Linked DNA regions of Caenorhabditis elegans. The protein of the gene in region 2 purifies or fractionates together with the protein of the main gene of each other region. This does not show direct contact. Each region holds a gene or a part of one and is shown on either strand. Other genes may lie near its edges.

Region 1 (7,569 bases), on a different chromosome or scaffold from region 2:
GTGTTTTTGATAATCTGAAATTTGTTGCGTGGATTTTAATAAAATGTTTTTTTGGTACTAAAAATGTTCCTAAATTTTTCTATATTTTGCTAGTTACCGGCTCAACGAAGGTGGTATATTTTAAAATCTGAATATCTGTAAATCTACAAAAGTTAGCAAAAGATTGTCAATTAACAAAATAATCTACGCAAATTGTTCTATAAGTTGTTAATTTACAAATTTTTTGTAGCTCAACTTTGAGCATAGTTATGATAGCTCTAAGTAGGGACAGGTTACCTGATTTTTATCAATTTTAAAACTTAAATATCTCCAAAAGCATCAAAGCTAATAAAAAATGTTGGGTATCTACGTGTACCTTACCCTTAACGTGGATATGAAGATCGTGTAACGTGAACTCATTATCTATGTATACTAACTTTCTATTTATTCCTTAGTTATGTAATAATAAACTACTCGTCTTCGCCTCCTTGTTCGGCCTCGAATATATAACATTGGCGATCAGGATCTTTCGGGCTCACTGCACCACTGACTTCATGCACATGTCTACTTAGAAGAAAAGACCTCTGAGGTATTGTTTTGATCTACACATGTCTACTGGGAAGAAAAGACCTCTGAGGTGGATCAGGTCAGCTTTGGGAAGAGGCACCTGCCGTGCTCTCTGCAGTTGCAGTCAAGGTGGACAGGAGCGGCTTCTGGTTTGAAGTCGAAAAGAAGAAGGAATCATTGCTCAACTCTTTTGAAGATGCGAGTGAAGGCCACCTATGCGTTTCAAATGCTCAGTCATTGGACGATTGCACAAATTGTTATTGGTCATAACATGATCCACAACCAGGAACTGGGATACAACAGGTTGATGGTGGAACAGGCGGAATCAGTGTGGATGATTCAAGGTTGGGTCTAATATTCAGGCAGCAACGTTTTTTTAGTCTGTTGGTGAAGGGTGGATAGACATCAAAAATATTTCGATTGGTACGGGAAGTGTGGCTAACTTGGAACCCGCAATTGGAGGATGTGAACACCGAAGTACCGTGTGCAAAGGATTGGCAATATCGACGGTCACACTGGAGGGTGGTCCGTGAGAACCTCAGAAGACATTCGTGGATGGCTCCTCACCAAAGCTCTCGTTTGTCATTGAAGAGGGGAGATGTTGGGTATCTACGTGTACCTAACCCTTAACGTGGATATGAAGATCGTGTAACGTGAACTCATTATCTATGTATACTAACTTTCTATTTATTCCTTAGTTATGTAATAATAAACTACTCGTCTTCGCCTCCTTGTTCGGCCTCGAATATATAACAAAAAATTAATAACAGGCAAAATGATTTACACAACTTTCTCTATATTTTCTTAGTTGACAACTTTTTAATATCTCAACTTACCGCAGAGTTATGACGGCTCAAACTAACCTTGGCTCGCTGCCAATTTTCCCACGTTCCTCCTCCTCCTCCCCCTACCCGAACAGTCTGCCCCCAAAACTGTGTCTGCGTCTCCTTATCGCGTCCCGTCATCTAACACTCCCAACGGACCGTCTTCCCACCTGTCAATTTCCCTGTTTCTCTGCGTCTATGTTCCCTCTGCCTGTACACAATGGTCCTAGACTTGGAAAATTATCGATTTTCGGTTAGTGGTCCGAGATTACCCGCGCGCGCGCATTTTTGAGAGGCCAGCTGTGTTGGTCAATCGTTTTTCTTGCGATTAGGGGGTTTCTCTTTTCATTTTCTCAGTTTTAAAAATAGTTTTCATTTTTAATTTTGATTTTTCTCATTAAAACTTTAAAAAGCTTAAAGTTTTCTCTAATTTATTAAGTTTAACATTTAGAAAATAAGATTTTCAACCCAAATTTCCATATGAAAATCGAAATTTTATCCCCTATACAATTCAAATTCCCCACGCTCCCCAACCCTTTTCTAATTGAGTTTTGGGGTGCATCGAAAAACACGCCAGTGCACCGAAAGTGCGCCAGCTAGCCCGTTGACGGCATTCCTTCCCCCGAGGGAACACCCGCTTTCGCAATGACTTTTGAAGCCGATTTTGGAGGTCTAAACTAGTTTTTTTGAGATTTTAACTAGAAATTCGAAAAATTCAGTTTAAATTCTATATAGATCTTAGGTTTTTTGAGGAATCTAGGTAAATTTTGGATTTACCAATTGGTATAGTAAAGTTAGTGTGGTTTTTTAGATTTTTGAAGTTCTCAGCAAATTTTCCTTTAATTTTGCCAAAATTTTCTATATTTTCCACAGCGAACTTTCAATTTTAAAATACTCTGAACAAATTTACTAAATAAAATCGAAAATTTTTTGGCATTTTATCGATTTTTCTCAAGTTGCCAACTATGTAATAACCTCTATGATTTCAGAGAGATTTTTGATTTTTCCCACTTAAGTATGTCTGCACTTTAAACCAAAAATTATGGGGTTTCATGCTTAAAGTTCACATTTTTTCTGTGTCTGGGTGTGCTGCTCCGTTTTGTTCTTTTTCGTGCAGCTTCTCATTATCAAATAAAATGTTTTCAGAAATGCCCGGCGATTCGCTGACATCGTCGTCTTTCATGCCAGATGGTGGCGCAGAAACGTCGAGCTCTTCACAGTTGGGCGGCTCGGCTCACGGAGCAATTGGGTAAGGTTTTGAATTTTGTGCAAAAGTTTTGACTTAAATCTGAGTTTGGCTCGATGTGGAGCAGGAAGTCTAAGCTTCTGGGCTTGTTAGAGCTGGATTTTGGGCCCAAAAACTATATTTGGAGCCCAGAACTGGGAAACTTAAACCAGAGCCTCTAATAACTTGAATCTAGTGAAAAATCTGACACTTACAAAAAAAACTGAAGTTACTTCAGACTTGGACTTTAAATTTAGAATGTGAGCTCACATTGGCTGAGCTTCAAGTTTTTAGAATTTTGGGCTTTAGCTATAATTCTATTAAAATTTTTAGAGAATGTCCGGAAATTTCAGTCCAAGCTTAAGCTTAAGCCTAGACCTAAGCCTAAACTCACACCTAAGCCTAAGCCTAAACCTACGCCATCAAATTTAAGCCTAAGGTAAATACCACCCGACTAAACCAAAGCCAACTCTTGAGCCTAAATCAAATTCCGACCTTCAGCGTCTGTTGAAGCTTTCAATTTAGACTTAGCCTAGGCAAGCCCAGAAACTTTAGCTCCAGGCCTGATTTTTATTTAGTCTTCCTGTAAGATTCCTGAATCTCTAATTTTCCAATTTTCAGCACAAAACCCGACGCAGGCGTCCAATTCCAGTGCCCAGTCCGTCCGAACCATGGAGTCGAGGGCCGATCCATCCTCCTGCGAGCCAATCATTTTGCAGTACGGATCCCCGGAGGTTCAGTCCAACATTATCAAATTGACGTCTTTCCGGACAAGTGCCCAAGACGGGTTAATCGGTAAGTACTTTTTCTATTGATTCGGGGTTCCCTTCAAAACTTCAGCTCTGAAATTTTAATCATTTTCAGCGAGGTAATCGGCTGCCTGATCTCCTCCTTCTCAAAATATTTCACCAATATTCGACCAGTCTACGATGGAAAGCGTAACATGTACACGCGGGAGCCCCTACCAATTGGCACGGAGCCCATGAACTTTGAGGTGACGCTGCCTGGAGATTCAGCAGTGGAACGGAAGTTCTCAGTGACGATGAAGTGGATCGGTCAGGTCTGTCTGTCAGCTCTGGACGATGCCATGGAAGGTAGAGTGCGGCAGGTTCCACATGAAGCCGTTCAGTCGATCGATGTGATTCTTCGCCACTTGCCAAGTTTGAAGTACACCCCGGTTGGAAGGTCGTTTTTCACACCTCCAGGTAAGATCTCAAGTTGCTTGGTTAAGGATCTAGGACCTAGGATTTAGGATCTAGAGTATAGGATCTACGATCTAGGGTCTAGGATCTAGGATCTAGGATCTAGGATCTAGGATCTAGGATCTAGGGTCTAGGGTCTAGGATCTGGGATCTAGGATCTAGGGTGTAGGATCTAGGATCTAGGATCCAGAATCTAGAATCTAGGATCTAGGCTCTGGGATCTAGGCTCTAGGATCTAGGCTCTAGGCTCCTACGCTCCCAGACAAACTTCAATACTCCAACTATATCTTTTAGGCGTCATGAAGCCCGGCATGCAAATGCACCAGGAGAGCAAACTCGGTGGAGGCCGCGAAGTATGGTTTGGATTCCATCAATCCGTCCGACCATCCCAATGGAAGATGATGCTCAACATTGACGTCTCCGCCACGGCCTTTTACCGCGCGATGCCAGTCATCGAATTCGTCGCCGAGGTGCTCGAGCTCCCAGTCCAAGCTCTCGCCGAGCGTCGGGCCCTCTCCGATGCTCAACGCGTCAAATTCACCAAAGAGATCCGTGGACTCAAGATTGAGATCACCCATTGTGGAGCCGTGCGCCGGAAGTACAGAGTTTGCAACGTCACACGCCGCCCGGCCCAGACCCAGACCTTCCCATTGCAACTGGAGACTGGCCAAACTATTGAGTGTACTGTAGCCAAGTACTTCTTTGACAAGTACCGTATCCAGCTGAAGTACCCCCACCTTCCATGCCTCCAAGTCGGTCAGGAGCAGAAGCATACGTACCTGCCACCAGAGGTCTGCGATATTGTTCCAGGACAGCGTTGTCTGAAGAAGCTCACCGATGTGCAGACGTCCACCATGATCAAGGCCACGGCTCGTTCCGCTCCAGAGCGTGAGCGTGAGATTTGTAAGCTAGTAAGCAAGGCTGAGCTCTCCGCGGATCCATTTGCTCATGAATTCGGAATCACTATCAATCCAGCAATGACTGAAGTCAAGGGACGTGTGCTCTCGGCTCCGAAGCTTCTCTATGGAGGTCGTCATCGTGCCACAACTGCCCTTCCGAACCAGGGAGTCTGGGATATGCGCGGGAAGCAGTTCCACACTGGAATGGAAGTCCGTACCTGGGCGATTGCATGCTTTGCTCAGCAATCTCATGTCAAGGAAAATGATCTCAGGATGTTCACGACTCAATTGCAAAGGATCTCTACCGACGCTGGAATGCCAATCATCGGTACCCCTATGTTCTGCAAATATGCTTCTGGAGTGGAGCAGGTGGAGCCGATGTTCAAGTACTTGAAGCAGACCTATTCGGCGATTCAGTTGATTGTGGTGGTGCTGCCAGGAAAGACTCCGATCTATGGTAAGTTGATTAATTGTAGGTGAAAGTTCTAGGGTGTTGGTGTAAGCTTTACGCTCCTAGGTTCCAAGGATCTAGATCTTAGATCATGGAGTCCTGGGATCCTAAGCTGCTAGGCTCTTGGAATCCTAGGTTCCAAGGATCTATGGCCTAGATCATTGGGCTCTGAATCTTGGGACCAAGATCATCTATATCCTTACCTCTTCAACCCCATCTGAAGCTCTATATTTTCAGCCGAAGTGAAACGCGTCGGAGACACCGTCCTCGGAATCGCCACCCAGTGCGTCCAGGCCAAGAACGCCATCCGAACCACCCCGCAGACACTCTCCAACCTCTGTCTCAAGATGAATGTGAAGCTTGGTGGAGTCAACAGCATCCTCCTGCCAAACGTGCGTCCACGGATCTTCAACGAGCCCGTCATCTTCCTGGGTTGCGACATCACCCATCCAGCAGCCGGTGATACCCGTAAGCCATCCATCGCCGCAGTGGTAGGATCTATGGATGCTCACCCGAGTAGATATGCGGCAACAGTTCGGGTCCAGCAGCACCGTCAGGAGATCATTACGGATCTGACATATATGGTTCGAGAGTTGCTTGTCCAGTTCTACCGTAACACGAGGTTCAAGCCAGCCCGAATTGTGGTCTACAGAGATGGAGTGTCTGAGGGTCAACTCTTCAATGTGCTCCAATATGAGCTCCGCGCAATTCGTGAAGCTTGTGTGATGCTTGAGAGTGGATACCAGCCAGGAATCACATTTATCGCTGTGCAAAAGAGACATCACACAAGGCTCTTCGCCGCGGATAAAGCTGATCAAGTAGGAAAAGCATTCAACATCCCACCAGGAACAACTGTAGATGTGGGAATCACGCATCCAACGGAATTCGACTTCTTCCTCTGCTCCCACGCTGGTATCCAAGGAACATCCCGACCATCTCACTACCATGTGCTCTGGGATGACAATGATCTGACGGCCGACGAGCTTCAACAGTTGACCTACCAAATGTGTCATACCTATGTAAGATGCACGAGGTCTGTGTCGATCCCGGCGCCGGCGTACTATGCACATCTGGTGGCGTTCCGTGCTCGTTATCACTTGGTCGATAGGGATCATGGATCCGGAGAGGAAGGATCACAACCTTCGGGGACGTCGTCGGAGGATACAACATTGTCAAGCATGGCCAAGGCCGTACAGGTGAGCATTGTTTGGATTTTGAGATAGAGTGTAGGCAGAAGCATAGAGCTAGGATCTGGGCCTAGATTATTTATCTAGACTGAGATCAGGATCTGGGCTGAGGCTTGAGGCATAGGAGCCTAGGAGTCTAGAAGCGCAGTCCTTGAAGCATAGACCAAGACCCAGACCTAGACCTAGACCTATACCGAGAACTAGACCTAGACCTAGACCTAGACCTGGACCTAGACCTAGACCTAGACCTAGACCTAGACCTAGACCTAGACCTAGACCTAGACCTAAACCTAGACCTAGACCTAGACCTAGACCTAAACCTAGAACTAGACCTAAACCTTGATCTAGACCTTGATCTAGACCTAGACCTAGACCTAGACCTACACCTACACCTACACCTACACCTACACCTACACCTATACCCACGCTTTCCTAACCTACTAATTTCAACTTTTTCCAGGTTCATCCCGACTCGAACAACGTCATGTATTTTGCCTAAGTCTCCAACTACGGATTCTCTGCCATTTCACAGCCACTTGTTATCTATGCATCTCGATTTTCATTTTTCCCGTTTCCTCTGCCCCCTGAGATTTTCATGTTTTTCCTTCCCCTAATTATCAATATCAATCAATACTTTAATATCTTTCAAGCCCAGGTTTATAATATTTCCAATTATGTTAGGTGTTTAATTTTCACCAAGTTTTTTTTCCATTTTTTTCCAAATTTCTTGAGCCATTTTCCATACTAGCCACACAATGCTTTTTCGATCCTCCAAATACTTTCCATTTGTGTCTTTATCCCCCTCTGCTCTAATTAAATACGACCTTATCACTCAATTGGTACACTTTGTTGTAAACTGTCTTTCTCTTAGTATCTGAAAAAAAACCTCATGATTGTCCTGTTTTTCAACCCACCCCCACCCACAATGCCTTTTTGTGTTTCCCAATGGCAAGTCCAACAGAATAAAGTGATATTTTGGAACCCACAGGATGTCCGCTGCTATTAGGGGGCCCGTAAGATGGGCGCTGTTTCTGTACGCCAGTGAGATGTCCGCTGCTTCTAGAACACCATTAGATGTCGGCTGCTCTATTGGGCTCGGGGCATGTCCGCTGCTTTAGCAAACGCTGCTCTATTAAGCCCGTATGATGTCCGCTGCTATTAGGGAACCTGTGGGATGTCCACTGCTTCTAAAAGCCTGATTGTCTCCTACTTTGCACCAGTGATCCCGTAAGATG
Region 2 (4,895 bases):
TTGCTTTCGTTTTGATGATCCAACTTTAGCAGCAATTCCAGGTGCATACTCATCCGGCTCCTCATCAATATGTTCTAATAATTTGGCAATCGACTCTCTTCCTTTTGGAAGTAAATTATCATCGAGTTCTCCTTCTAAATGTAATTGTCGACATGCTTCAAGTGCAACTGCCATCTGTGCAGTCTTCTTATTTGGCATTGGATTTTTGAGCACAATTGCATGTTTGATCGGTGAGTTAATTGGAAGAAGAAGCTCTGCACAGTATTTGGTCACTCCATTCTCTTCAATTGGAATGATTTGATTGTGTGGAACAAGACGAGTGAAGATATCGGAAGGAAGCTTCGAACAATATCTGGAAGATTACCAATTGTTTGTATTTAGCTGTTGGATTAAACTTCTAAAGTGAAATTATTAATATACCTATTAATTAATGCGATAGCAGTTGACATTTTCAATGTTGCACCAGTTTTTTCAACAACATATGGTTCCATTTGAGAATCAACATCAAATTCTTCAAATCTATCCGAATCATCTTCAATAGGATTGTTGACTGTACGATGGCGGCTAAGAAGAATCTTAATATCATTTTTTAAACAATTGAACTGAAGATTCCAATATTACTTTTTCTATTTGCTGGAAATCTTTCAAATCACTATCACACGCCGCAGTATCTTTCTCCTCAACAGTGATAACATATCTTGATCCAGCTCGCCGAGCTCTTCCCTTTGACTGAACGTATGATCTCATGTCAAGTGGTCGATCAAATTTAATCACAAGATTACATTGTTTAACATCTACACCTTCTTCAAGCACTGATGTAGCGATAAGACAATTGATTTCATTTCGATGGAAACGGCGAAGAACCTAAAAATTATATTTAGACAATGATAATTTAAACATAAATTTACTTCAGTTTGTCGTTTATGTAATCCTTGACTATCCGAACTCGCCAAATTTCGTCCGCTGGCTCCAACGACGTAATCCGGGTTCACAAACTTGAACTTAGGCTCCCATGATTTAATATGACGCATCATAAGCTGAAAATTTACAATATATTACCGTAACATTCATATAAACCTACAAGTAACGAATATGCAATGTACCGTTGATCGACAAAAATAATGGCTGATAAATGTTCTGCTTTTTCTAACTTCATTCGTTCTTTTTGAAATTCGGGGTTGAAAGTTTCTAGGATTTCGAAAAGACGTATGACACGTTGAGGAACATATGGACGGAGAGCTTCAATACTTTTGATTTTCTTCATCTAAATTGGAAAAAATTGGTGTAATTAATAGTTGATTGCTTACACTGGAAGTTGGAAAATGCTAACTTGGAGTTCAATATAGAATAGTAATTTTAGATTAAAAGTGTTATTGAGGATCATTCCAAAAATTCAGCTGCGTCCGAGCAGTTTCACCCCTTTTGAAAAAACTTTCAACTTAAAAAAAGTGTTTCCAAATATTCGTAAATTGTTTTTAAAAAACATATAGCATTCAAGCTTCAGCCCATAATTCTCAAAAAGCCATGAATTGAGCTACAATCTTACAATTTGAAATCTTGCTCAAGATTTGTAGCTCTCTTGGTGAGTAGGGAGTTACGAACTTTTTCGAATGATAACACTTTTTTGTCGAAAAATTGCTATACCATAACGATACTTCGAGGTACCATTTTCCAACGTCTCTTGTTAGGTACGCACCTCCGGTTCCAACAATCTTTTAATCGTAATCATAGATGTTTTTGCCATATTCAAAAACCGCAACGTCTTATCCGGTAGCACTTGAGATTTTATAATTTTTCCCAACTCTTTCTCCCAAACTTGAGCCGTTCGCCATGCCGCCCAAGGTCCCAGTTGACGAAAAACAGCTCGCGTCGTCTTGAGAGAATCTTTAATCGGTCTACGAGGATCCAAATCTAGATCTGGATGAAATTCTGTTGTGGTGTTCACAAAGGCTACAGTTTCATCAAATATTTCTATAACTGTGTCGAAATTCGGAATACCCAGGCACCCAATTTCAAAGTCTTTGCAGATGATCACAACTTCATAGGGTTTCGCACCGTATTTCGAGAGCTAAATTAGTTTTATTGGAAACAAGTCTTTGTTTGTCTTTTTTAAATCATACCGAGACTAAATCACTAGCTGTCTCTATAACACTGTCCATCGCAGATTCCAACTTTTTTAACTGTTCCATTAGTTTTTCCGGCGCAACTTTCGCTTTGATAAGACTGGCTGTGAGTCCTAATACACGTGGGACGGGTTTGTCTGAAAAAATATTTCCGTATTTTGAAGCGAATTCGAAGTTTCACCATTAATTCCTCAATACTTACCCTTTTTCAATAACTTATAATCGACCATGATGCTTCTGTATGGATGTTGAGAACCGAGAGCATGATGACATTCGTCAAAGATCAGAACACACATGTCTTCAATTTTCAAGTACGCATGTCGAATCAAATCAAGAAGGCATTGAGCTGTGATCACAACAACCTGAAATATATATGCTCGATAGTTCAGCTTCGTATTCTCACTCACATGGTGCCTCTTCATGAACTGATCACATTGTTCTTTGCTGTCCCATAAACCACTACTTGTCTGTCCGTGGACCTGACCAACTTTGAAACTTGTGTGAACTTCGATGTGGATAGCTTGTTGTTCAACGAGGTTTACTGGAAAAAATGATGTTTTAGAATAAATCTTGTTTTTTTTTGTCAATTATTCACTTTACTGGCCAGCTGGCTTATTTTTAATAGACGAAATTACCTTTCTCTACAACAAAAAACGCTCGTTTTCCACCCTGATCCAATGGTGCAAACAATTGAACTCCATATTCTTTCAGCAGTAGAACTGCAATGAAAGTTTTTCCTGAACCAGTGCCTAGTTGGACGATTGTGTTCTTTTTTGTCGCTTTATCCAAAAGTTCCACCTGAAAATCGATTATTTTTAATTTATTTTGCTACTTAAAAATTACCTGGTAGTCCCTGGGGTTAAAACATTGTAAATCAGCTCTTACCCTGACCATTATTGGTCTGAAAACAGGGAAAATTGATAATGTTCAAAAATTACAATAAAAAATAATTGCCGCTGACTGCCCCGTAGTATGCGCTCTACTGAACCAATGTCTATGTCTCTTTCATGGGAACATTCAAAAGACGGAGGAAAAGTGGAATCGACAGAAATTTGAAAGAAAATACTCTGAAAAATCGTGTGAAAAAAAAGAAACAAACATTTTTTCGTATAATTTTTAAAGGAACATTTATTCGCGGTTTTTGTGGAAATGTAGTTTCCGAGACCCCAACCTTCGTTTTAAGCATGATCCTTTAATATATACAGTTTCTCACACATTTGTCATCGTTCTCTTCTCGTATCCTTGCTGAAATTATTTTAACCATTTCGAAAATGTCCATTTTTGACAGAATGACTACTTCGAAAGAGGCTGCGATGAAGTACAGGTATGGAATTTTTGAAAATGAGTTCCGTAAAGACAGTTTTCAGACAATTTTGCGTCTCAAAGAAAAAAGAAGTCTGGGATGCTCTGATATATCACGCAAAATACGCAAAAAATATTGAAAAAGTTTATGATATGACGACAGTTCTGCAACGAGTACAGCAAGAATGCCTGATGGTGAGTTTTAAAATTTTTAAATCCAATCAAGAACAAATTAGCCTTATTCTCAATTAAATGCTCTGAAAAATCTTCTCCTTATGGAAAACGGTCAGAAAATAGAGGTGTAACAAGCTAATGGAAAATAATTTCAGTTTGCATTGGAAAAAGGCGTTGGTCAACCGGATATTCGCGATGCTGCAGAGCTCATCTTCCCACTGGCCATGCAGAAAGTTGTTATCAAAGTTCTCAGACCTTATTTTATGTCGCACTTCACTAATTACAGACGTATTTTTTTTTCATTCAGCCCCAGTTTCCAATAACATTTTTCAGTTGCCATGTACCTTCCTCATCGAAAAATCGATCATGGAATCGATTTAAACCAAGAGCTGTGGACACCAGAAAAAAAAGAAATATGCGGGCAATATGTTCAAGATTTTAATCCTTTTGTCAATGAATTGTGGGTAAAGCCTGACTTCCTAAATTATATATAACATTTTCAGAAAAACTGGAATTCTCAATGCAAATCGTCACATGAACGCAGCACTTTCAGTGTATATTCGCGAGCTTGCTGCAACATTGGTGATGCACGAGAAAGCGGCTTTTGACAATGAGCTGAGATGTTCAATGTTTCAAGAAATTATGGAGAGTCTGAGGATTTGGTCAGATCAAGTAACAATGCAAGACGCATTCCATTTAATTAGTGACACTATTTACAAAGATGTCTTCCAAATGCTTTCCAAAAACGTGAGTTTTTAAAAAAATTTGGAACCTAAAAAATATTTTTTGTAGGCATATGAAATGATCGCCGTAGATTTTCCAGTAAAATTTCGCAGTCTCATCACAATGAAATATTGCCTTTTGAGAACTAATAATCATGGGAGAGTCGATTTCACAAATTACTTGATAGATCAAGTTAACACAAAACTTCTTGTTGCATGTAAGTTGGTGAGGGGAATTATTTAAAACTTAAATATTTAAAATTTCAGCGGTTGATACAAAAGACATTTTGAAAGCTTATGCGGCGTGCGTAGAATCTCTTCGTGAAATGGACAATAGTTGCGTGGTTATGCATAAAGTTTGTGGAGTTATCAGAGAATATTTGAAGTAAGCTATTTCCTGATTGTTTAATTATATTTAATTTTTTTTTCAGAAGGCGACCTGACACTGTACAACAAATTATCAGTTACATTACTTCTAATAAGAAAAATGAACTGGAAAAAGATATGGTAAGCGTGTACTAAAAAAACGTTTTCTAACACTTTTCAAGAGCTTACAGTCTAAAACTGTTCGATC
Region 3 (3,643 bases), 2.1 Mb from region 2:
AACATTTTAACTACGCTGTGAAGGTGAAACAATTTGCGACCGCGACCCACACTCGTTCAAAAATGAGGACGGGCGGCGCGCAGGCCGCACACTTTTTTCTTTTCTTCTCTAAATCTCGCTCTCGTGCACTGCAGAGAATGAGTGTGGAAAAGAGTTTTGTAGAGGTCAGAGGCATAGAGATTACGCATCTTCTATAGAATTCTATTGATGATTGATGGAACCACGTTGGGGAGAAAACGGACAAAGAACATCATTGGTATTTACTGTTTCTATAAGTGATGGAGGTAATGATAAAACACAGCCGCCCGTTGATGGAGTGAGAGCACATTGTCTTCATAGAAATAGAAACCATAACGCACAAAACTGTGACGTTTCGCACACAATCTTACCACGCGGCAGGCACACAAAGAACAATCACAGTAGAATTGACACGAGGAAAAGTAATGGAGGGAGAGAAAACACAAAGAACGACAAAAATATAATTTCGAGTAGTTTCAACTCTGAATGGCATTATTCAAAAAAATATTTAAAAAGGATATAATCATTCAGACGCTTCATTTTTCAGGAATACGCAATAATATTTTCAATCCGTGAAATCATAGGTGTTGAAATGGATAATCGCCGATTTACAAGCACACTGTTTAGCCTCTTCCGCCGATGAACCATGTCCAGCAAACACTAGCGGCCCGGAATCTGGCATATTCTTCTTCCGTAGCTTTTCCTTCTCGGCAGTAGCCTTCATAATTTCTTCAGTCTGGGTGTGTTCTGCTCCCATTTCCAAATCGTCGGGGTCTGGAGAAACTAGACGCCGGAACGAGATTTCCAATAGCACCTGATGTATTCCCATTGTGCTCACTGATAATACGTTGAAATCCATGCTGTAGTCTGAAAATCTTTTCTTGTCCGAGAGTATATCAATCAGTGCGGAATGCTTGTCTTTAATCTTGGATGCTTGATCCTGAATTTCGAGTAAATGTTCAGCTTCTTCCAAATTTTCAATCACATCAACTGAAAGCAGTAAAATTAAATATTAACTACAATTATTTGGAGGCATACCCATATCATATGATTCCAGAGATTCGATACCGTCTTCCAACGCTTTCCACATCAACCATGCTGCAAGATTCTTTGCGTCCTTCTTCTTACTTCTGATTCCTCTGGTTTTTTGATTGCACATCTGAAATTTTTTATTATTTTCGAGTTATTAATTAGCAGTTCTACCGTGCATATAACCAAGAAACGCTCGGTTCTCTCATTCTTGGAATCTTCATAGATTGGGGCTTGCAGCTTGCTTTTTTGAGATTTTTCCTGCAACTTTCCGACCCAATTCTCGGTTGGCGAAATACCAGGTGGAAATTCAGCACTTGTAGGAATCGAATCATCGTTATCGTTATCCTGAACAGCATCTGAAGTTGATCGTTTCAATTCCTCAGCCTTATCCGATATTTGATCACTGAAAACAATTGAAATATAATTCAATTTGATAAACTTGAAAGCATTACATATTCGAAAGAGCTTCTTCTTTGGTTGTTCCAGGAATGAAAAAGATTTCGTGCTTTCCTTTCTCCACAACCTTGCGTAAATATTCAACAGCAGCCTTTTGTCTCGCAGCTTTCTTGCTTGTTGCCTGGCCTTTTACAGTAATTTCATTCAGAATCAACGTCATCTCGAAGCCTTCAGGAAGTTCGACAGTGCCCCAAGTTGGCGTCTTTTGATAGACAGCCTTAGCAGCCTCTTCTAGTACCATGAGGGGAGTTTTCTTCAGAAACATCTCCAAATCTGTTCTGTTTCTTGGCGTTTTGTTATCCTCCGATCGGGAAGGCTTCATAGGAACATCTGATCCACCGAAAACGCTTTCAAACGTTAGTTTGGTTAAATCCATCTATAAATAATATAATTTGAAACAAAAATAATAGCGGATCTCGTTTAAAGAAACGAAAAGAAAAAAACGTTCAATTTTCAAGTTTTGCGGTAATTTCTCATCAAAGGCAACGAGACCGGTGGTACGGTAACACTTGTTTCAACTGTGCGATTTGCTGTGTACTCCTCTCGGATAACGATTGCTTCAATAAAATTTATTTATTTTAATAAAATATATTTTTCAAAGTGATCTTTAAAGTGTTTTCCTTATTTTACAGTTCATTTTTTTAACTTTGAAATTAATTTTTTTATTTTTTTATTTTTGCAGTGAATGTTTTGGTCGCGAGTTCAGTTCGCGGCACGAAGGAGAGAAGACAGTCGACCGCTTTACCGAAGAATCTTCACAAATCGTCGACTTGACATCGCTCATAAGGGTAAGAACATGATTTAGACAACGATTTATTTAATCGAAACATGACGAATATGTTTTCCAAGTTGTAGTACTCAGGCAACTCAAATCTAATATGAAAATATTAAATAGCAATATTTTCGTAGTTGGGTGATATTTCAAGATAAAATCGCAATATTCCGAGACTTATTCGAAATCTTTTTAGATTGAGCAATCTTTTGAGAATATTTCGCAATATTTTGAGGTTGATTCGCAATATTTCTGAATCTGAAAATATTACGAAAAATTCGTAATATTTTGAGATGACATAGCAATCTTTTGAGATTGGTTCGCAATCTTTCTGAAATCTAAAAATATTACAAAAAAATGTGTAATATTCTAAGATTAATTTGCAATCTTTTTGCAGTCCATAAAGATTACGAAACACCATTTCCAAATTTCCATCGGCTTCACATGATCGTGATATATATACAACAATTATGATTACTGTTCCGTTCTAAATTCTCTTTTCTTCCAAATGATAAAAGACTTTTCAAAGTAAAAAACAGCTACATGAAAATCTATATAATGGAGCATCTCACTGTTAACGGATATTTGATTTTTCGTTGCATATTGTAGAAGGAGTTTTTGCAGAGAAAGCCATAGAATTCACAAATCTGTCCACTCATGTAATTTTTTCTAGATAATTGGCCGGTCATATTACAAATTCAGTCAAACAATCACGAAGATTGGTCGAATATATTAAAGTAGACTTACAACTATTCATTCACGCGTGATGCGTTTGAGATTTTCTGATTTCAATTGAAATCATAAAATATTGTCAACAGCAAGCATGTTCCCAGTATACTCATCATTTTAATCAAATTGTTAGTGAAAAAAAATATTGAAAAAATAAAATGTTTTTCTCTCTTTGACAAAAATTCGGAAAAATTGCACATCTAACTTTTTTAAAAGCATAACAAATAAATCGTTTTTCCACATTCGCTTTCAAAGAAAGTTATCCAATTTCGCTCTGACACTTAGAAAATTTGCGAAAAGTCACTGATTTCCCATCAAAGGTAACGAAAAGGACGTGCGCCCATCAACTATTTACTTAAGCAATAACTAAATCTAGATGCGACACGTACAGGATGGCTCAACAGGTAAGATAATGGTTTATAGACTCAACGACAAGCGACGGACAAGTTCAACTCCCCTCAATGGCAACAAAAGTTCTTCGAGTTATCACAAAACAGTTCTAGAATAGTCGATGAATGCATTTTTAATATTTAGAGACAAATTCGCAATATTTTGAGACAAAATCGCAATATTCTGAGACGAAATCTCAATCTTTGCAGATGAAATCTCAATCTTCGGAGACGAGTTCGCAGTCTT
Region 4 (7,824 bases), on a different chromosome or scaffold from region 2:
CGTCGCGTACTTCATTCGGCACGACGTTGTTGGCAATCGCGTCCCTAATTGTCTCTCCACTGAGAAGTAAAAGTCGAGCGAGGCGTTGTCGTGCAAGAACCGTTCCAACTGATGTAACATAGATCATATCAGACTTCCGAGTTCCAGTGATTTCGCGAGGAATTATTTCTTTGACACCAGACCAATCCTGAAAGTTTTTCACTAGAAACGAAAAGTATTTTCGAACCACTTACCTTCAAAGATTGCAATATTCTACTCCTACTGATCGGATAATCATCGTTGTAGTTTCTCGAAGAGAACAATGACTCGTTAACTAGTATTGGATCCTTGCTTTCTGTAATCTGATCCACCGCATCCTCATCGTCCAAATGAAGCGCATCAAACCGTCCAGACACAGCGATGGAATGAAATGTACGATATGCAATCTGGAATATGTTTTTTGTTGATAGATCTGGAATATTAAAGATCGAGCTTACAAGATGTAAAGGCATCCATTGTGCACTTTTAGTAAGTATTGGCTCAACAATATCTTTTTCGTAGAAAACTCGAAGACTTATGCTTTCAGCTGATGCGAAAGATTGACTGAAATATTGAAAAATTTTTCCAACACTAGATTTTTAAATTTACCTTGCCAAATATCTGAGAAATTCGAGCATCATTGTTCCCATATCGAAATTTCTCAATATCGGAGCTTCATCTGCATCTTCTTTCTTCGAAATCCATTGCTGAAACATTGTTGTTGGCATCAGAAGACTTTTTTCATAATCAATAGTGGGATTTCCCAGGAGATCTCCGAGCCCTAGACGAATCAAAAGTCTTCCCAGCTGCCAAATCGACAAAACACTTGATGGGAGCACATTTTCTCGTTCAAGCCAAACTTTCAGGATGAACAACATTTTTATAATCTGATCTCCATAAAAATATACGTATCGTCTCAGGAAAAGCGCATCTTTGTGAGATTCAATCAAATCTTTCAATTTGAGAAACTTGTCAAACTGCCTTTCAATGGAGTTTTCGATCTCCTCTTCTAAACGAGCAGCAATTGGATATTTGCCTCGTAAAACTGCGTCATTTTTATCGAGCATCTGCAACAAAAAATTAATATATTTATTTCATAATTTTAACTTACTAATTGTCGCCTCAAATCACACAATGCATCCCAAGCAACCCAGGGAAGACTCTGTCCAATGCATCTTCCAGCCTTATTTATCTTTGGCTGCACATATGCCACGAAATACCATTGCCGAATCTTTTCATGCATTGCCTTCGTACATTTCAACCGAGTGTTCTTTCCATCATTCTCAATGTTGATTTCTTCTCCACCAAACTCTTCAAAGAATTTTGCACGAAATACAGCATACAATTTTTCATAACGAAGCTCAACGACCTTATCAGTGTGATAAAATGAATAGTCGTCTCTCTCCATTCCAGCTAATCTCTTGATACTTGCAGCATGTCCAGACACAACTGAAGCTTCGTCTTCAATTCCATATTCATCCAAAAGTTGTTGCATTCGATCAACGTATTCATCGCGAAGAGTCAATGTTTGTACAAGTTTTATTTCATTTCCGAAGAAAACATCAACGTCTTCTGGACAAATCAGTTTATCATATTCTCTTTCGAATACACTCCCGCGTGTTTCAAATTCTTCCAAAACTTCTTCAACTTTTCGAGCTTTTCGGTGCAATTGTCCATTTAATCGGGTACTGTAGTACATCGGTTTTCCACCTGACATCATATAATCAGGTGTCATTTCGCATTGCTCGAAACTTGACAATGGTTCCGCGGGAACTCCACTTTTCGGAAAATCTACAGCTACTGCACATTTGAGCGCGATGGCGTGACAATTTTCGCTGAAAAATAAGATATTGGCTTAACATGGATAATTTCAAGGAACATACTGGAAAAGTCCGTGAAGATCAGCATAAGCCAAATGAGCGTGACTCATTCTTCCAATTGAATCCTGTTGAAGGTATCGAAGGAAGAATTCAACCATATCATCTGTAGTAGGTTCTTTGTCTTCTTCTGCAGCTGAACTACTCGGAAAAACCATTGCTTCTTCATTATAATCGAGTAGCATTTCTTGATCCCATATTATAGAATACTCATCTCCATCCAAATCTGAACCTGCCATTTCATCGGGATGTGGTCGTGGGCCATGTTGTGGAAATACTACAACATCGACTAAATGAGCTAATGCTGGTTGCCAAACTGCGTCGAAAACTCGAACATCTCCAGGAACGTGACACGGATTTTTGGTAATCAAAACTTTGCCTGTTTTCAATATTGGACGGTTACTGGTTTGTCGGATACTTGGTGAATACTGGATGAAAACCTGTCCGTACTGTAAAAGTCCAGTCTCATCGACAACACCGTACATTGATCTTCCCAAACTTGGAGGCAAGAAAATTTTAGCTTTAGAAATGTGATGGATGATGTTGTAGCGATAAATAGAGAATAGCATATCTCGTATCAATGGATCTACACTCAATTCGAACCCGGCTCGTTTGCTTGCTGCGTTCCAGTCGATTGCCAAGTTTGTGCGATTGACTAGCTCTTCTGCTGCTTGATTTTCATTTATGAGCATATCTAAAATTAGGAGATTATGATTTGTAACCATACAGTAACTACATACTACTCAGAGAACATAGTTCTCTTTCCAAGTAATAATGAACACGATTTGTGATCCTTCTGTGAGAGCTTGCAGATTGTTTTTCCGACACTTGATCCAGGATTGTAATGAATGGACGGTTGAGACAAACTGGAGATGGCATAGCGTATTTTACTACTTCGAGGTATTCATCTTGCAGCTCTCCACCACCTTCACCAAACTTTTGCTGACTTTTTCTGAAAATTGATCATATAATTTGTTTGATAGATCATCACTACCTGAAGATAACTTTAGGCATATTTATAATATCATCGATTGTTGGATCAATAACTAGAATTCCTTTGAAACCTTTAAATCGCACTTGGAAACAAGCTGGTACTTCCTTCAATTGGAGAATCTTAGATATATGTGTTGCCAGTTTGATAGAAATTCGACCACAACCATCAGAAAAACAATATTTGTTCTCTACACCACCTTCAATGTCAGGTTCAACGATCCAGTGATGTCGTTCAAGACGTACCTGAATATTTTCGACTATATGAATATTTTTAACACTAGAATATACCGTTGGTTGTGCTTGTGTAAAGCATTGTCCCATTCGACTCATCATCTTTGGAACACTAATCGCATCTCGGAAATCTCCCATCCATACTCTAATATCTTCTACAGTTCCTGTGACTTCACCAGTTAATGCATTGACTCGAGGAGCGTATAAATAACATCCTTGATCACGCATTTGAGAATTACTCCATCCTAGAAAACTGTAGACACGATCAGCAACTTGAATTCCATTTTTGAGAGTCAAATAAATTCCTTCGGTGACAATATTCGACATGTCTGGAAACTTAGATAATATATTTAAAAATATTTAAAGAATTTCTTACGATCTATATTATTGATGGAAAAGTCGCGAATAGCGAGCCGGCCCAGATTGTCATCTCGGAACACACAACGAAGAGCATAATCAGGTCCAAATCTTCTAACAACTCGATTTACCATCATTACTTCTGGAGCCATTAGCAGTATTCGAGATGGTGTTACAATAACTTTAGCCACTGAAACACAATTCTTCGGCAATGGCTTTGCAAGGCCTACATCTTGAAGGCTTTCTCCTTTCAGAAGTCTTTCGTATTGAATCTTTCTTGATTGATACATTGTTGTGAACGCGGTAACTACATCGATTTGACGACGTTCATCAAATGCATTCAAAAGTTGTTCGAGAGTCTCTTCTGTGGCTTGAGAGCATTCTTTCATTCCCCTACGAACTAATTTCAGAAAGAGCGGCTCGTGTACTAATTCCATTGGCTTTTTCGTGTCATCAACATCATCGTCATCATCTTCATCATTGTCATTGTCTGAACTTGGAATATTTTCATCAGTTGCGTCGAAAAGTTGGTCCGTAAATACACTTCCGCGTGTGATTAGAGCCTGGAGAGCATAATTCGCTCGGAAAGATCCCAGAGAATGGAAAGCCGGGGATGGTGCAAGTTTTCGGCGAATTGAAAAAATGGAGCCGAACATCACTTTTGCTTTGCTTCGAGCAGAAAGTCTAGTAACAATATCCATCAATTGTGTAGACGATACCGAATCGTTATCATCATCTTTTCTCATTGTCAACCGGATCCAGGAGCTTTGCGAGAAAGCTTCAGAAGTACAACCGACACCTCGGCCCTCAGCATCGCCAGGCCAACTCAATACTCTTGTCTGAAAATTTACAAGTTTTTAAAAGTTATTTGCATACCATATCACCCATTCTGTGCACGTTTCCATATTGAGAACCTTCGACTTTGATGGGTGAAAAATCGTATTTTTCGGAATTCCTTCCCAGAGATGCGGTGGATTTTTCATTTGTATATAAATACTGTTCGTAGTTTCATGAGACATGTCGACAACAATTCGAACAAACAAATTATAATATAGATTAAGACGAAATCCGGCATGATCCAAACCATCATCAGCGAATTCGGCTAATCGAACTCCGAAATATACCACTGCCAGTCTTTTGTCATGCTCAAATCTCGCATACGAGAGGTATTTATTGCTTCCTGCCACTTTGAATGAACTGTTTTCACGGGATGCATCTGCATTATGGTGTGACTGAAGCTTTCTTAAAAACAAAAATCTGATTAGAAATTCTGTAGAATATGTGCAACTTACACACTACAAACTGTGTTTTCTTGACTGATGAAATCTCCTCTAACAAGGAAAAGTCCTGAATTAGGGCAGTTTCCAATCGCAATCGCAGAAATATTTATATCCATGTGTTGGGGTCTAAATTATAACTTGAGTATATAAAAAGCGGATGAGTATTCTATTACGTTATTTTTGTGAAAAGCGTATGCATTTTCGGGACTTCCAAAAATACTTGATCATGGAGCATTCCAGTTATTCTAGATGTGAAACTTGATGCGAACTCGGAGAACAATTCATTTTCATCTTCTACTTCACCGTTTGGCGTCAAAACTAAATGAGCATCGATGACGTATGATTTATCTTCGTACGCAGCTCGTGGCACCATCCCCACCTTGATCCAGTTTACCTCGTCAACTTTAGACTGAAATTAAATTGTTTCAAATACGGCCAATTAAAAAATCGCTTACCAATTTCAAGTGTGTTTTCAAAACATCTTTTATATTTTCCATGTGTGCTCGGCAATATCCAAAGCAATCATTATTCATGCTGCCAATGAGCTTAGCATCGAAATTCAGCTCAATCGCCTGTTTTTTACTAAACTGTCTCGTCTTCGCAACTGTTTCCGATTCTTCTGCAGCGGCCCATAACATCCGCACGAGTTTTTCTTGTTCTTCGATATTTACACCACCTCTGTGCTTCGTTTTCTCATAAAGAATGTGAGTTGATGGGAGAGAGTGCCGTTTTAGAACAGAACAGTCGACTGGTTTTGAAGTAGAAGGCCTTTGTGACTGTAGCAGGTAATCACGAAGATATCCACGATTCACTGGATACGAAAAATTGTTTAAATGATTTCCTGGAAAAGCCGACGATGAAGAGTGAACAGGCTGTTCTTGTACGTCAACTTCCGATTTAGATTTTGAATTTCGATCCATCCGAAACGTTGTCAATAGCATCTTGTTTGAATGCCCAATTGTTAAGGTGTTCACTGGAGTGCATTCTGTTTTTCGATTTGGTAAAGTTCCAGACGAAAAATTCGATCTACCACGTGGAAATGTTGATTGACTCTGAGGAACTCCTCTGGAAAAAAACATTGTTTCATTTGACTACCGTTTGCTCACCGAATTTCAATTACCTTGGATGCTTCGGCCTAACAGAAGTTGTAGCATCATCGCTAGAGTCATCATTATCAAACGGGAGCATTTTGTGAAAGACTTTTTGAAAATGGCATTTATTTTACGAAAAAAATGAGAAACAATTTTATTCAAAAATTTGATGATGTATGTTCGCTCCATTGACAATTAGCAACGAGACTCCGCAGTTACGGCTAAAATTTAAATTTGATCAAGCATTAAATCCTTTTTATTTTGTTTTTAAGCGCCTAGGCGCGCCTTTATGTTATTTAGTTAAAGTAGCTGTAACTACTCCGTGTAAGCTGTAAAATTATAATCTAAAAATAAGACTATAATCTCAACACTTTTTCACAACAGTTCCATTGCAATTAACGTCATTATTGAATTTCTATTTTACAATTCTTGTTGCTTAACTTAAGTTCTCTACTTACTAAACAAATATACGAAGCCTTTACAGCATGAGCGCGATCTCGCCTGATACAAAAAGTTTTGCGATTCCGACATTGGCTGATGAAGGTTCCTCAAGCAAGCCAGCATCATCTTTGTGAGTTTAATAAATAACATTTCTTTTTCAAACTACAATTTTTCAGAGATTTGCCGAAACACGAGTCTATTCGTTTCAAGCCGATTAAAACACTTGCAAGTAGAATTGATGGATCGGAGTATTATGACGAGGCGAGCATGGAGAAAGTGATGTCAGTTTGAGACCAGCATATATATTAATATGTTATATTTTTAGGGAAATGCTTGAAATCGGCAGAACCGATGAAGCTGTAGCTTACGCGGATACATTATACTCTAATATAATTGATGATGAACAGCAAGATATTGTCACCATCGCTGAATACGTAAAAATTCTCGTCGTTCTCCGTCAATGGCGGCGTATTAGCCATATTATTGCTCGTGGGAACTATCATCAGATTCACATTGTTTTTGCTTATTATGCCGCTACCGCACTTTTCCAACGGAAATTATACGAAGATGTAGCTGAATTATCGGTCGGTCATCTTCTTCCAAGTAATGGCCAAATTGGACCTCTTCCTGTTCGAACACTTTCACAAGTGACGGGGAGATATGTCGAGGAAGAAAGAATGAAGTACTCATTTGCAAATATGGCCGAATTGGATAATAGCTCTAAAAAGCTCAGAATGGTTCCAGCTCTTATGATAACCATAGCAGAAAGTTTTTTGAAATTGATGAATCGTGATGCTGCAATGATTTGTATTAATTACGCGCTGAGTCTTGTAAGTCATCTTTTATACATGATTTGACCGTGTTTTATTATTTCAGGATAATACAACTCTCCATGTCGAACGATTAATGGCAAAATACAATCTGGTTGAGCCTGCGATGTGGGAGAAGTACAGAAAAGTCAGAAATGAACAGCTGAAGTTACACGAAGGAAATCATGATCCACGAATTCTTATGGAACGTGCTCAACGTGCCTACGAGATGGGTCGATTTCGAGAAACAAAAAAAATCACTGACGAGCTATTTGATCTATTTGGACCACATCCTGAGTGCATTATTCTTCGTATTCACTGCCTAACAATGTTAAAGGATTCTCGATCTCTGCTTGAATTAGGTCATCAACTAGTTAGTGATGATCCTCATATTCCACTTCCATGGTATTGTGTTGCTATGTATTATTATAGTATTGGAGCAAACTCAAGAGCTCGAAATTTCATCAGTATGTTTCCCATTTCATTGAGGTTTAAATAGAGCTTCTTTAGGTAAATGCACGATGATGGATTCGACGTTTGCTGAAGGATGGGTGGCTTTTGGTCATATTCTTCACTATGAAGTTGAACACGAACAGTCCATGAGTTGCTATTACAGAGCGTCGAAACTTGTGGATAAAAGTTCTGAACCGTTCTTGTACACTTCTCTTCAGTACAGTACGCATAGTCAGAAGCTGAGCAAGAAGTTCATGGGAGAAGCAGTTGCTCG

The links.
Region 1: the proteins of dcr-1 (region 2) and alg-2 purify together in Caenorhabditis elegans (affinity purification with western blotting; 3 studies listed by BioGRID, with this or other methods). This does not show direct contact.
Region 3: the proteins of dcr-1 (region 2) and rde-4 purify together in Caenorhabditis elegans (affinity purification with mass spectrometry; 4 studies listed by BioGRID, with this or other methods). This does not show direct contact.
Region 4: the proteins of dcr-1 (region 2) and rrf-3 purify together in Caenorhabditis elegans (affinity purification with mass spectrometry; 3 studies listed by BioGRID). This does not show direct contact.

Annotation. Positions count from the first base shown.
Region 1 is NC_003280.10:871,644-879,212, forward strand, and holds the start of alg-2 (Protein argonaute-1), read left to right. Parts: upstream 1-1,568; coding exon 1,569-1,623; intron 1,624-2,008; exon of another isoform or gene 2,009-2,137; intron 2,138-2,516; coding exon 2,517-2,619; intron 2,620-3,216; coding exon 3,217-3,390; intron 3,391-3,459; coding exon 3,460-3,800; intron 3,801-3,843; exon of another isoform or gene 3,844-4,044; intron 4,045-4,091; coding exon 4,092-5,153; intron 5,154-5,384; coding exon 5,385-6,343; intron 6,344-6,794; coding exon 6,795-6,833; 3' UTR 6,834-7,569.
Region 2 is NC_003281.10:8,077,258-8,082,152, forward strand, and holds the start of dcr-1 (Death-promoting deoxyribonuclease), read right to left. Parts: upstream 3,025-4,895; 5' UTR 3,018-3,024; coding exon 2,967-3,017; intron 2,922-2,966; coding exon 2,759-2,921; intron 2,665-2,758; coding exon 2,531-2,664; intron 2,486-2,530; coding exon 2,326-2,485; intron 2,261-2,325; coding exon 2,121-2,260; intron 2,069-2,120; coding exon 1,697-2,068; intron 1,265-1,696; coding exon 1,082-1,264; intron 1,038-1,081; coding exon 909-1,037; intron 865-908; coding exon 622-864; intron 576-621; coding exon 421-575; intron 353-420; coding exon 1-352. Other genes in the region: apc-2 (Anaphase-promoting complex subunit 2), read left to right, coding at 3,395-3,447, 3,491-3,620, 3,755-3,887, 3,933-4,059, 4,103-4,346, 4,392-4,539, 4,589-4,706, 4,753-4,828 and 1 more. UniProt on the Caenorhabditis elegans protein: Component of the ERI/DICER complex which is involved in processing amplified double-stranded RNA (dsRNA) intermediates during small-RNA-mediated gene-silencing or RNA interference (RNAi). Involved in cleaving dsRNA in the RNAi pathway.
Region 3 is NC_003281.10:10,216,763-10,220,405, forward strand, and holds rde-4 (DRBM domain-containing protein), read right to left. Parts: upstream 1,885-3,643; 5' UTR 1,883-1,884; coding exon 1,503-1,882; intron 1,454-1,502; coding exon 1,222-1,453; intron 1,178-1,221; coding exon 1,057-1,177; intron 1,009-1,056; coding exon 584-1,008; 3' UTR 540-583; downstream 1-539. Other genes in the region: cox-14 (Cytochrome c oxidase assembly factor 3), read left to right, coding at 2,192-2,294.
Region 4 is NC_003280.10:8,160,678-8,168,501, reverse strand, and holds the start of rrf-3 (RNA-directed RNA polymerase), read right to left. Parts: upstream 6,038-7,824; 5' UTR 5,945-6,037; coding exon 5,877-5,944; intron 5,822-5,876; coding exon 5,212-5,821; intron 5,166-5,211; coding exon 4,930-5,165; intron 4,883-4,929; coding exon 4,769-4,882; intron 4,719-4,768; coding exon 4,361-4,718; intron 4,316-4,360; coding exon 3,496-4,315; intron 3,449-3,495; coding exon 3,177-3,448; intron 3,132-3,176; coding exon 2,890-3,131; intron 2,848-2,889; coding exon 2,636-2,847; intron 2,590-2,635; coding exon 1,902-2,589; intron 1,854-1,901; coding exon 1,130-1,853; intron 1,086-1,129; coding exon 628-1,085; intron 583-627; coding exon 477-582; intron 426-476; coding exon 234-425; intron 188-233; coding exon 1-187. Other genes in the region: emb-27 (Cell division cycle protein 16 homolog), read left to right, coding at 6,333-6,418, 6,465-6,569, 6,614-7,118, 7,165-7,564, 7,608-7,824.